Schizosaccharomyces pombe: one gene and its partners. The protein of the gene in region 1 binds, or shares a complex with, the protein of each later gene. Each region holds a gene or a part of one and is shown on either strand. Other genes may lie near its edges. The genes, in order: mrpl22, mrpl16 and mrpl51.

Evidence for each region.
Region 2: mrpl22 (region 1) and mrpl16 share a complex: the UniProt entries of both Schizosaccharomyces pombe proteins name them as parts of the mitochondrial large ribosomal subunit.
Region 3: mrpl22 (region 1) and mrpl51 share a complex: the UniProt entries of both Schizosaccharomyces pombe proteins name them as parts of the mitochondrial large ribosomal subunit.

What each region holds. Positions count from the first base shown.
Region 1 is NC_003421.2:2,027,518-2,031,134, forward strand, and holds mrpl22 (mitochondrial 54S ribosomal protein uL22m), read right to left. Parts: upstream 1,618-3,617; 5' UTR 1,514-1,617; coding exon 764-1,513; 3' UTR 657-763; downstream 1-656. Other genes in the region: helicase Hrr1, read left to right, coding at 2,138-3,617. UniProt on the Schizosaccharomyces pombe protein: Component of the mitochondrial ribosome (mitoribosome), a dedicated translation machinery responsible for the synthesis of mitochondrial genome-encoded proteins, including at least some of the essential transmembrane subunits of the mitochondrial respiratory chain.
Region 2 is NC_003423.3:3,507,260-3,511,015, forward strand, and holds mrpl16 (mitochondrial 54S ribosomal protein uL16m), read right to left. Parts: upstream 1,875-3,756; 5' UTR 1,675-1,874; coding exon 1,027-1,674; 3' UTR 264-1,026; downstream 1-263. Other genes in the region: lys4 (homocitrate synthase), read right to left, coding at 1-48; protein tam12, read right to left, coding at 2,444-2,644; ARS-binding protein Cbp1, read right to left, coding at 3,512-3,756. UniProt on the Schizosaccharomyces pombe protein: Component of the mitochondrial ribosome (mitoribosome), a dedicated translation machinery responsible for the synthesis of mitochondrial genome-encoded proteins, including at least some of the essential transmembrane subunits of the mitochondrial respiratory chain.
Region 3 is NC_003423.3:1,697,833-1,701,521, reverse strand, and holds mrpl51 (mitochondrial 54S ribosomal protein mL43), read right to left. Parts: upstream 1,590-3,689; 5' UTR 1,441-1,589; coding exon 1,375-1,440; exon of another isoform or gene 1,284-1,374; coding exon 1,121-1,283; exon of another isoform or gene 1,025-1,120; coding exon 816-1,024; 3' UTR 650-815; downstream 1-649. Other genes in the region: cytosolic thiouridylase subunit Ctu2, read left to right, coding at 1-649; protein Mdm34, read left to right, coding at 2,429-3,689. UniProt on the Schizosaccharomyces pombe protein: Component of the mitochondrial ribosome (mitoribosome), a dedicated translation machinery responsible for the synthesis of mitochondrial genome-encoded proteins, including at least some of the essential transmembrane subunits of the mitochondrial respiratory chain.

The DNA of each region.
Region 1 (3,617 bases):
TATTTCCAAACATTCTTAAATGAAAACACTGATTTTCTCTAAATTAATTTTTACCCACAGTTTAAAAAAAAAAACTCATTGTTGTGGTTCAAGTTAATATAGTTGATACATTTACTATCTCAACTTATTTTTTCATTATGGCCCATTAAAAAGAATTACTGTCTATTTGATGCGGTTTGTTTCCTTTTTTTTCCTACTGATCATTTGCTACTGCAAATGAGTTAAAATGCGGATCCAGCGTACCTTTACACCTAATAATTGGGGAATTAATGATATTTTATACTCGGTTTGCTTGATTGTTTAAAAGTGTCTGATGAATTTAGAACCAATAAATATGTGTCAAAATGGTGAAGAGATATGGATAGCTTCAACATATGGTCCAAAGCACGTTTTGAAAAGTCAAAAAAAGAAGCTCGTTGCAATGCTTCAAACCAAATTTGAAAAATGTTAATGAGGCAAACGATTGCATGAATGATTTAATAAGATTAGACAGTTTAAAAAGAATTGCGTTCTTTACGAAAACGTATCATTGAACTAAAAGTGATGTATGTACAGGTTGGTTAGTTTACCTTTTTACAGTACTATTTTTCTACTGATACCATCAGCACCATAGAGGTAAATACAAAATTATGGCGTTGCTAAAGAAATAAATAATAAGGGAAACCATATTCTCATAAAAAAAAAACGGCACTAGAATTACTATAAACGATATTGGGGGGAAATATTATTAGAGTATCAAAGATATGGGCATCTCAATAATGACTTAGCAAGTGAAAAAGTTAGATTTTAGGTATATTGGTCGGTTAGGCAGAGGCGTCCAAACTTTCTTTCTTTCTAGTCTTTGTTGACGACGCTGTAAATCGCGCAAGAGAGCTCGCTCATCTCTTAAAACAACAGTAACTCGAACCCGTGGAGATCTCTCAATGGCACGACCTCCACGGCCCATAGTGATAAGTTTCTTTAAATACTTTGCCTTTCCAACCCATATTTGATCAACGTAGAGAGTACTCTCATCAAGACCAGCTTCACGAACAGCGTTTTCTCGAGCAGAAACCAAAGCAGTTGCGATGTACTTGGAAATTTTTTTATCTGACATTTTCATTTGAAGTAAAGCATGATAAAATGGCTTATGGGCAATTTGACGACACAAAGCGCCGACTTTCTTTAAAGAGGAGCGAAGCACCATTGATTGTAAGGTGTAGGAAGGATCCATGGTCTCCTGTTTTTTGAAAGAAATACGTGACCTTGGTCTCTCTTTTACACGCTCTTCCTTTTGCTGACGATTAGAATCGTCCTTCTGGTTAGCAAGCATTGAGAAAATGTCGGACCCTTTTTGCGAACCCAAATTTGCAGGATTTTGTGCAGACTCCCTTAAGTAGGATCCATTTGAAAATTCTCTAACAAAAGAAAGTAATGGAAATTTGTAATGGTACGTTTTAGAATTCAATCCTATCGTGGACGATGGAACTAAAAAGCCCTTTGATATTTTCATAAATTGATTAATGTATTTCATAATTAAATCTTAAAAATTTTTTCCCAAATATTCCTTCCACACATAGAAGTCAACGTTTTCGACTAATTTGAGCAAATGCGCTTTCTCAATGTTGTAACAAAACCAGGTAAATATTACATGCCAAGGTGGTACTAATAGGAATTGCAACCTAACGAATTGCTAACTGTACTATGTTATAGGTCAGTTAGCATTTCCCTCCTTATACAGTTATAAAAATCTTAAATGAGAGAGCTCACTATCACTATGCAAGCTACTCAGTTTGTAAATCTATTTCAAGGATGGATAAACTACGATAAGGTAACTTTACAACGATGTTAACACATGCTTACATGCTTTATGCTGGCACACTAAGCTGCACATTGCGGGTATTATCTGAACGCGTTAAATGCATGGTCACGTAAAGACAGAAAACGGCCCTTGGCAGTAAACAAACAACCCATTTGTATGTTAGACAAATAATATTAGAGACAGGTGCAGAGACTGTACATGAATTGTTATTTATGATATCTTTTAGCTTCTTTGGGGAGGACGAGATTAATATTACGACCTAGTGGGCGCGTACTGAGATATTTTAGTACAATAACCTTTTGAAATTTTTTGGATATTATCCTTTTCTTTTTTATTATGGAACAAGTACAAGATGAAATTTGGAAGTTAAGTACGCTGGACGCCTGGGAAATGGTGAACAAAAATACAGAAGTTGTGTTTGATGAAATCCCCGAGCCAGAAACTTTAAGTGAAATGAAAAGACACCCATTGTATAGCAACATCTTTAACGCCGATAATAATACTACGAGTTTCACAGAACAAATCGAGACTTCTGAAACCTCCAAAACCCAAGACTCGGAGGGGAACAAAGTTGATAAAAATTTAAAAGAAAACAAGTCAATACGTCGTAAGAGAAGCATTGACAACGATTATGAATTGAGTAATGTAAAGAGAAATGATATAACATCGGGAAAAAATAGAGAATTCGAAAACGAACACCATCCCGCAAGCGATACTTCTTCTTGGCGGGAACTACCATCAATTCCAACGTTGGAAGAATTGACGTCAAAGAGTGTTGAATTACCTTCAAACAACATATACGGAGGATACAAGTCCTTTGAAGATTACTTATCTATACACTATCGGTTGCTACGTGAGGACGCAGTTTCCCCATTACGAGAAAGTGTGCTTCGGTACAAGGTAAACCCCAATTACATTACCGGCTCTTCGTTAGCCGTATATGATCATGTGCGGATAGATGGCTATACAATATCTTCCAGTGTTATAGCTGCAAAATTATCCTTCAGTGTTCGCGCTAAGAAAAAAATAAAATGGGCTACCAGTCGTCGTCTTATCAGTGGATCTTTAGTTTTATTAAGCAATGATGATTTCCAGACTTTTCGCATTGGAACTGTCTGTGCGCGGCCCTTGAGTGGCCTTAATAAACATCCTCATGAAATAGATGTCAAATTTGAAGATATTAGTATCTCTTTAGATCCTCGAGAAGAATATGTTATGATCGAAGCTACTTCAGGCTATTGGGAAGCTTACAAGCATGTTCTTCGTTCATTACAGAGGCTTTCTGCTAGCACATTCCCGATGAAGGATTACTTGGTACACTGTAAAAGTAATCAGGAGACTGCTAAACACATACAAAATAATCCTAGGATACGCATAAATTCTATCTTAAAAAATAACTCTCAAAAAATCGTAAATGCTCTTGAGCCGTTCGGTCCTGGCGAGTATATACTAGACTCGTCACAGTTAAAAGCTTACCAGTCCATGCTGACTAAGAGACTCTCCATTATTCAAGGCCCTCCAGGGACTGGTAAAAGCTTTGTTACTCTTAAAGCCATAGAAACATTACTTGAGAATACTCACTCCCATGTTCTTCCGATTTTAGTAGCTTGCCAAACGAATCATGCAGTCGATCAAATATTGATTCGTTTATTGCATCAAGGCGCTTCAGTAATGCGACTAGGTTCAAGAACGAAGGATCCTGAGATTGCAGCGGTTACGATTTTTCAAAAAGCAAAGCACACCAAGCATTCATTTAAGGCTGCTTATAATGAGATTCGTCACAAAAAGCAACGCTTAATCAAGCAAATAACTAATA
Region 2 (3,756 bases), on another chromosome or scaffold:
CATAGGAGGCTTGATGGTCTCAGTACCATTAGCTTCGGACACAGACATGTTGATGACTTTAAAATGCAAAAAAAGGAAAAGGAAAAGCGAATTTTCTAAAATGAATTAAGTATAAATATATAAATTATACAATTCAACAACTTATTGTCCCGAAACCTGTTAGCTTTGAATTTTTTAAGCTAAATCTTTTATCACTGTAGAGGAGACAACTAAGAGCAAGGATGCACGTATGTATGAATTTCAAAAAATTCGACCCTACCCTATTTATTTACTGAAAGAAACAGTCACTACCAACTCGTAGGCAACCGCGGTAATTTATGGTAGAAAATTGATTTACAGATCCCGATCGATCTTGATGAGATTTAATCAGATCTATGGTAGTAATGATTAAGTTACTGATCCACTCAACAGTGGATTGCTAAGCTAGGTTCTAGAAGGTATAGTGATTTTTTTTGTAAACGTTGTAAATATTTTAGTGGAGTTGATTTGAATAATTTCATTCGTAATTCCATAGTAAAATCAGTTTCATATTATTTAAAGTGTACTTTTTGATTCACTTCATGATTTCGCACATATACAACGTGCCGTTTTTTACATCCCGAAAAAAAGTCCCCAACGGAGCAGAGAGCAGCAAATAAGATTTTCGCCAAAAACACTCATTACCGTTACCAACTTTTCAGGACCAAAGAAATTTGATGTTTTAACGAAATTGCCGAGCCGTAATCAAAGTGAATCAAAAGTGGTTCATATTTCGCCAACAAAAATTAAGCAACTCTCTCATTGGGGATGAAAGTTCCCATTTCGAAAATAGATAATGAAACATAGCGCAAAATGTACAATGTTTTAAGGCATTTCTGGCAAATTTCATTCACTAAAACATAGAATAACTACAACGATTGAAAAGAAGCTCATGAATGTCTGTACAAAGATGCAGCATTAAGTTCACAAACTAAGTAAGTGAGAAGTATGACAGAAAAGTAATTATTGAATGGGTTAAAAATAGATAAATTCAGCTTAACTTTTCCCTTAAACAGCTGTAGTAGTACTGGTAATTTCCTGATAGTTCATTTTGCTTGTCTCGGTGGTAATGGGGGTTTCATGAATCAGTGTGGTACCCAATCTTTTGGGGGTTTGCTTGACGATAATCTCATACTTGCCTGGAAGGTGAAAAGCGGCTTGCTTCAATGCATGCTCAGCTAACTCTTTACGCATTCCATCACCACCAATTTCAAAAAGTACACGACCGATTGGTATCCGTGCAGCCCAGTATTCAAAAGCTCCTTTGCCTTTGCCCATACGAGTTTCATTTCCTTTTACGCATACTGGCACATTGCAACAAAAACGTGTGTATACCCGAGCAGCCTTGATAGGTTTTAATATACGCTTGAGAATCTGTTCGGCAGTTTCGAGTTGCTTGGCATGAAATCTTATACTTCGATCTTTTAATCGCATACCATATTCTCCCCATTCAAGTTGAGTACCACGTAGTGAACCTCCTATGGGTATAGGGACTCTTCCTTTCTGAGCTTTTTGGTTTCTGATGCTTCTGGGTGCATACTGGTGTCCCCAACGAACCATCGTTTGGATAGGCGGCATTTGTAAACCATTCAACCTCGTAGGTCCTAAAATACCAGAAAAAAAGAAAGGAAATTTATTGTATTGTTGTAAAGCCATATTATATAAGTTTTTATGTTGTGAGGGTTTCAAAAAGTCATAAAACAACGTGTTTTTATTATCATGCAAAAGTCGTTCTTTAAAGTTACTCAGAAATATTCAAAATAATCAAATTTAAGTATTATATTTCTTTTTTTATGGGAAAATGGTAACAATAGTAACGATAATAGGCCTGCTATTTTTTGTATGAGAAGGGGGTTAAAGGATACTTGGATTCTGTATGTGTTGCTGCCACTTATCCTAACTAAGTTCCGGGAAGAAGCCGGACAATAACTGAACATTAGCTATAATTATTTATTTGTTTGTTTATTAGTTTGTAAAAAAAAAAAAAAAAATTATCTTAAGCATTAGGCAAAAAAGATTATTTTCATAGATACTGAATTTAACGTGCGTTTTATGCTCAACACATTATTTGATTCAGCATCATCATTTCAATGACAACAATGCGTGAATAGAAATAAAACAGTGACTATTTTAGCTATTTCAAATAATATACTTAGCTCATTTCTTGTCAAGGAATTCTTGTCCTTGAAGAATAACAAAACGTTCAACTGTTTAGTGCCTCAGTATTGGTATTTGGAATGTTAAGACTGTCTTAAAAAAATCTTCTGATGTACGTTTATAAACCATTAGAAGGATCCTCTATCGAGCTAAACATTATTGTATGGACAATCGAACGTAAGAATGCCAAGCGCAACTCTTTTGTCCCCTGTAGCAAGAACTTGCTCACATCATGATTATAAAAAAAACAAAAAATGGGATTAGGAAATTATGAAGGATCTGCTAAAATCTTGCGCATTGATCTACGTATCGCGGGAAAAGAAGAATTGTTCTGCAAAGCGTGAATAGCCTGATATTCCCAGTTTTCTAACGTCTTTTGAGCAGCTTCCTTCTTTAATGAATTTGTATATGATTGGGATAAAGACGCTGTTCTCGTAGAAAACGTCGACGAAGAACTAGTTGTTGACATACTTTAATAAATATTCCGAATGGACACAACCTTGAAGACTTGCCAATTCGAATTTCTCTGATTTTACTGATTCTTGCTGTAAAAAGTCTTAAAAAATTCCAATAAGCTATAACACGCTTGATTGTTCAAGCAAAGGATTTGAGTTATTTGTAGAAATAGAAATGTGCTTACTCGCCATAGTTATGAACATCGCCATGTTAGTCTAGGTCTCGAAGAGAAATCGTTATTTCATGTTACGTATAACATCAAAGTTCGTTATTGATTATTTCTTATATCATTACATCATATACCTTTGTAATGCTTAACTGTAAAGTAAGCTTATTTACAGTACGAAGCAGTTAGCAAAAGAGAAGTACATTTTTATAAAATCAATCATGCGTAAATGGATTAAATTCGGGTTTCACAGTAATAATTTATCATTTTTTGAAGCTCTAACCCCTACGGTTCAACTATTTACAATCTAATCTCGACCTTAAAAAAACAAATATGCCTCAATAAAAAAAAAAAATTTCTTACATTTAGCCGGTTTTTATTTTTAAAGATAAATAGTATCAATATTAAAAGCACTTGATTGCGAGACATGAATTACAAAATGTATAATATTCAATTTCATTAGCTCGTATAGCGATTTTGCGTTTAAGAAACTTCGAAAAGGTTTTTTTAAAAAAATTAAAATAAAAACAAAGAAAAATCAAATAAGCTCATCAGTTGCAATCGGGTATTAAAAATAGAGCAACAAGTTAAAATGAAGGAATAAAAGCAAATTACTCATTAGGTAAGGGATCCAAACTCAACAAAAAGAAAATTAAAACTACTAAAATACAAACCAAAAACAAAAAAGTCAAATATGCACAACGAATACAGACATTAGGTGCTTCTCAAACGAGAAAGATTCACGTTACCACCCCTTGCCTCAAGGAGCTTCTGATAATTTAATAGACTAATCGTGATTGCAGGATTTCCATCGGGTTGTTGAGCTTCATAGTTTAGCAAAAGCTCGATCGCCTTCATAGCGTCTTTAGTGGTAATCTGGAATTCAGTAGATTCTTCTTCGTCCGTCTCGAAAGCGCGATCATCCATGTACTGCGAAGCAATTTGATTGATTATATCCT
Region 3 (3,689 bases), on another chromosome or scaffold:
CGCAGATAATGAGAAATTTAATCCAGAAGTCATTAGTTCGTTAGCCTCGCGTCAAGATTTACTTTACCGAATTCGGGATAAGCTTTTAGTATCCTATGCCCGGAAGGCAAATTGTGATACCATTGTTTTTGGTGATAGCGGTACTACAATTGCTGCAAGAGTTCTTGAACTTGTGGCAGAGGGTCGAGGTTTTGCGATACCATGGTACACTTCTGTCTGCTCTAAGCTTCCAAATTGCGATACTTTCCTACTACGTCCCCTACGTGAAGTTTTGTCTTCAGACCTCAAGTCGTATATGAACATTAAGGGATTAGCTTTCTGCGATAGCTTAATTGAAGCACGTCCTAATACTATTCATGGCGTTACAGAATCATATTTCTCATCGCTGAATGATACATTCCCAAGTCTGGTTAGCACCGTTGTCAAAATGAGCTCAAAATTGCATGTGCCTTCTACAGAAGCCATATGTACCATCTGTAATCTACCAATGCAAGAAGATGCTGAGACTTGGTTACAAAAAACTACGGTTGAACATCCGGATTCCGTTGAAGGTATTAAGAATCAAAATGTTTGCTATGGCTGTTCTGTTTCTTTAAAAAGCTTAAAAGGGACGTTGCATATTCCTGATATTGAAAAAGAAGGGATTTGATACATCTGTACACTTACTACCTGGTTAACTAGAGTATTTATGGGAAGATAAATTTGGATAGGGTTTTGTATTTCGGACAAAAAGGTTAGACATAATAACATAACGAAAATGATTAAATTGAATTTTCTTTTTTTTGTATGAAATAATAAGTAGTTTGTAGAGGAATCTAAGGGGACTTTTTCTTATAAATTTCATGGGGCTTTGCTTGATCGGAAAATGGACTCCAAATACCACGAACGGATGGGTTTGTTGACTCAACAGGATATTTTATGAGGCGAGGTTTCAAACCATCACTATCTCTGCATAGAATTGCTTTTTGAAATATTGAAGACGCTGACATTTTCCTTGTACAAATGACCTTCTCTCGACCAGTATCTATTATCGTAGCATTAGTAAAAAACACTATTTTAAGGAGTTCATATTTATAAAACTAAGAGGATCACCATAATAAGAGAAAAGTCTTGGACGTACTGTAATAAGCTCGGATTAATGGATGCTTGCCTTGGCGGTTTGTAACATGAAATTCCACATCTTGAGATTCTTTGGCCAAAGACTCAAGCTTTGTGGATAAAAATTCTTTCATGCCTTTTGAGCTTCCACCCCAATTACAATACGAAAACTCAATTCGACGGCACTAAAAAGAAAATTAGTAATACGAAGTTAATGAAGGCCAATCTTTTTTTTTTTTTTTTTTTTAAAAAAAAAGAAAGCTGATTAAATCTTACTGGGCGGGTAAATGAACCTAGTCCATTTTTGGGAATTGAAATTTTAGGAATGATTTCAATCATCATTAAGTGAGTAAAAGGCCGTAAAAAAGGGGATACCGTCTTTTAAAAACCAGAATTCTTAATATGCTATATTGAAAAAAGTTGGGTGAGCAAATCCTTGCAGAAATAATGAAAAGTCGGTATGGAGACGTAAAGGGGTGTGTGGAAATTCGCAAATCCCAAATTGCTCTAAACTTCAATACTTGTTCCAATTGATTTAGAATGTTAAACTTAGTATGCAATTAGTTTTATAAAAAATTTTAGCAACAAAATCAAGTTTACTGTCTACCTACAGTTTCTGGTTACACACTTTGCAATACTTTACCTTTCTGCTCTTCTCTAAATAATGATATCTAGAAAGTTTACAGTGATTTTTTAACGTAGTACATGGACTGCGAACAAACATAATATAGGTTTTTTAAAACGAACAATTTTGATTTAATATCATTCATTTATGCAGAGATATCCTTTTCTGAAAGAGCAAAGTTGTATCGGTTCTTGTACTCGAAGTTCTTCAGCCTAGATATTTGTCAACATAGCAAATTAATACAGTAAGCAACACCACTAATATCATTTCTAAAATAATGGCTGAATTTCTGATTTGAATATCTAAGGAATTTCATTTCATGAAGCTTTATTTATCCCTCCTAAATGAACAGAATAGCAAGAAAATATATTTCACCAGTATAGCATAAGAAACTACTGTGCATTTTGTAATAATTTATTTAATGCATTCTAATACACCTTCGTTCATATACAGTACGATCGACCCTATCCTTATCTTGGCTATATCAAGGTTCAGTATGCCGCACTAGTGCATCAGCCAGCCTATCGATGTTTATTTACTGTCCGCCACTGTATGGAAGTTGTCGTTTCCCTATCCGAATTTAATAAAAATTTTGTAAAGAAATTGATCTAAAGCGTTAGTTACTTAGTCTATACTAGACGGTTCCTTACAAAAAAATTTGACATTTTTCATAGTTGATGTAGATAACTTAGGAAAATCAACAGAATGTCGTTTCGTGTAAAGGGATGGAGTGATCAGTTCTCTGAGTCATTCTATGAGCGAGCAACCACTTTGCTTACGGCTGCTTTAAACAAAGGCACTAAACACTCGATGATTGCAGACCACATCACTGTAAAAGAGTTGGATTTGGGTCCCCAACCTCCTCAACTGGAAATTTTAGAGGTTGGCGACTTAGCGCCAGACCGCTTTCAGGGCCTCTTTAATCTCCATTATTCGGGTGATGCTTCTTTGGTCTTGCAAACAAAAATTCGTGCCAATCCATTATCGGTGCAAAAAAGTAATGTTCCCAGTTTTAGTTCTCGTAATACAATGTTAGCATCTCGTGCACCGCTTACTGTGCCTATGTTTTTACGACTTTCCGACTTAAAGCTTAACGGAATAGTTGTTTTGGTGTTTTCAAAGCAGAAAGGTATCACTGTGGTATTTCGAAACGATCCTTTAGAATCCGTGCGTGTATCTTCCTCCTTTGATTCTATTCCTGCTATTGCTCGCTTTTTACAAAGAGAAATCGAGGTGCAACTGGTCTCCCTGTTTCAGGAAGAACTTCCTTCCATCATATACAAAATGTCAAGAATTTGGTTTGCCAAGTCCGACTCTAATCTATCTTTTCAAAAAATTCCTTTCACTTCTCCTAACCAATCTCATACTTCTCTGGCTAATTATAACCCAGATTTGCTAGATGGTCCTCCCGACTATCATGAATCTACGAAAGTCGACACTCATCTCCCAATTAAAATGGGCCCATTGGATGTCCAAACGCATCCTAACATTCGATCTATTGCTTCTTTAGCCTTATCCAGAAAAGCACTACTTCCTATTTCTTCTCCTTCAATACCTATGTCCATATACCGGTCAACTCCTCCCGATACGATTATACAGCAATTGACTACTCAATCTGATGATATTTCTGCTGTATCTTCCCCTGCAACCCAATATTCCGCATCAGACTATCTTGGTTCAAATGACACCACGGCTAGGCCATCCATTTTTGGTCGTAGTCATGGTACCTCACAATTCCGCCGCCGAGAACGTGTCAAGAAAAGACATGTAATTAAAATTCATGAAGCATCAAACAAGTCTGCTTCCTCTTCCGAAACTTTTGTTGGTTCTAAAAACGTTGACCTTACTGAATCTGCGTTTGATTCCATACCTGATACTCCTACAAAGATTATTACCAACATTAATAAACTTAAAAGGAATTATACCATCACTAACAACTGGTTGGAAAACCTGCAGCAAAAGATTC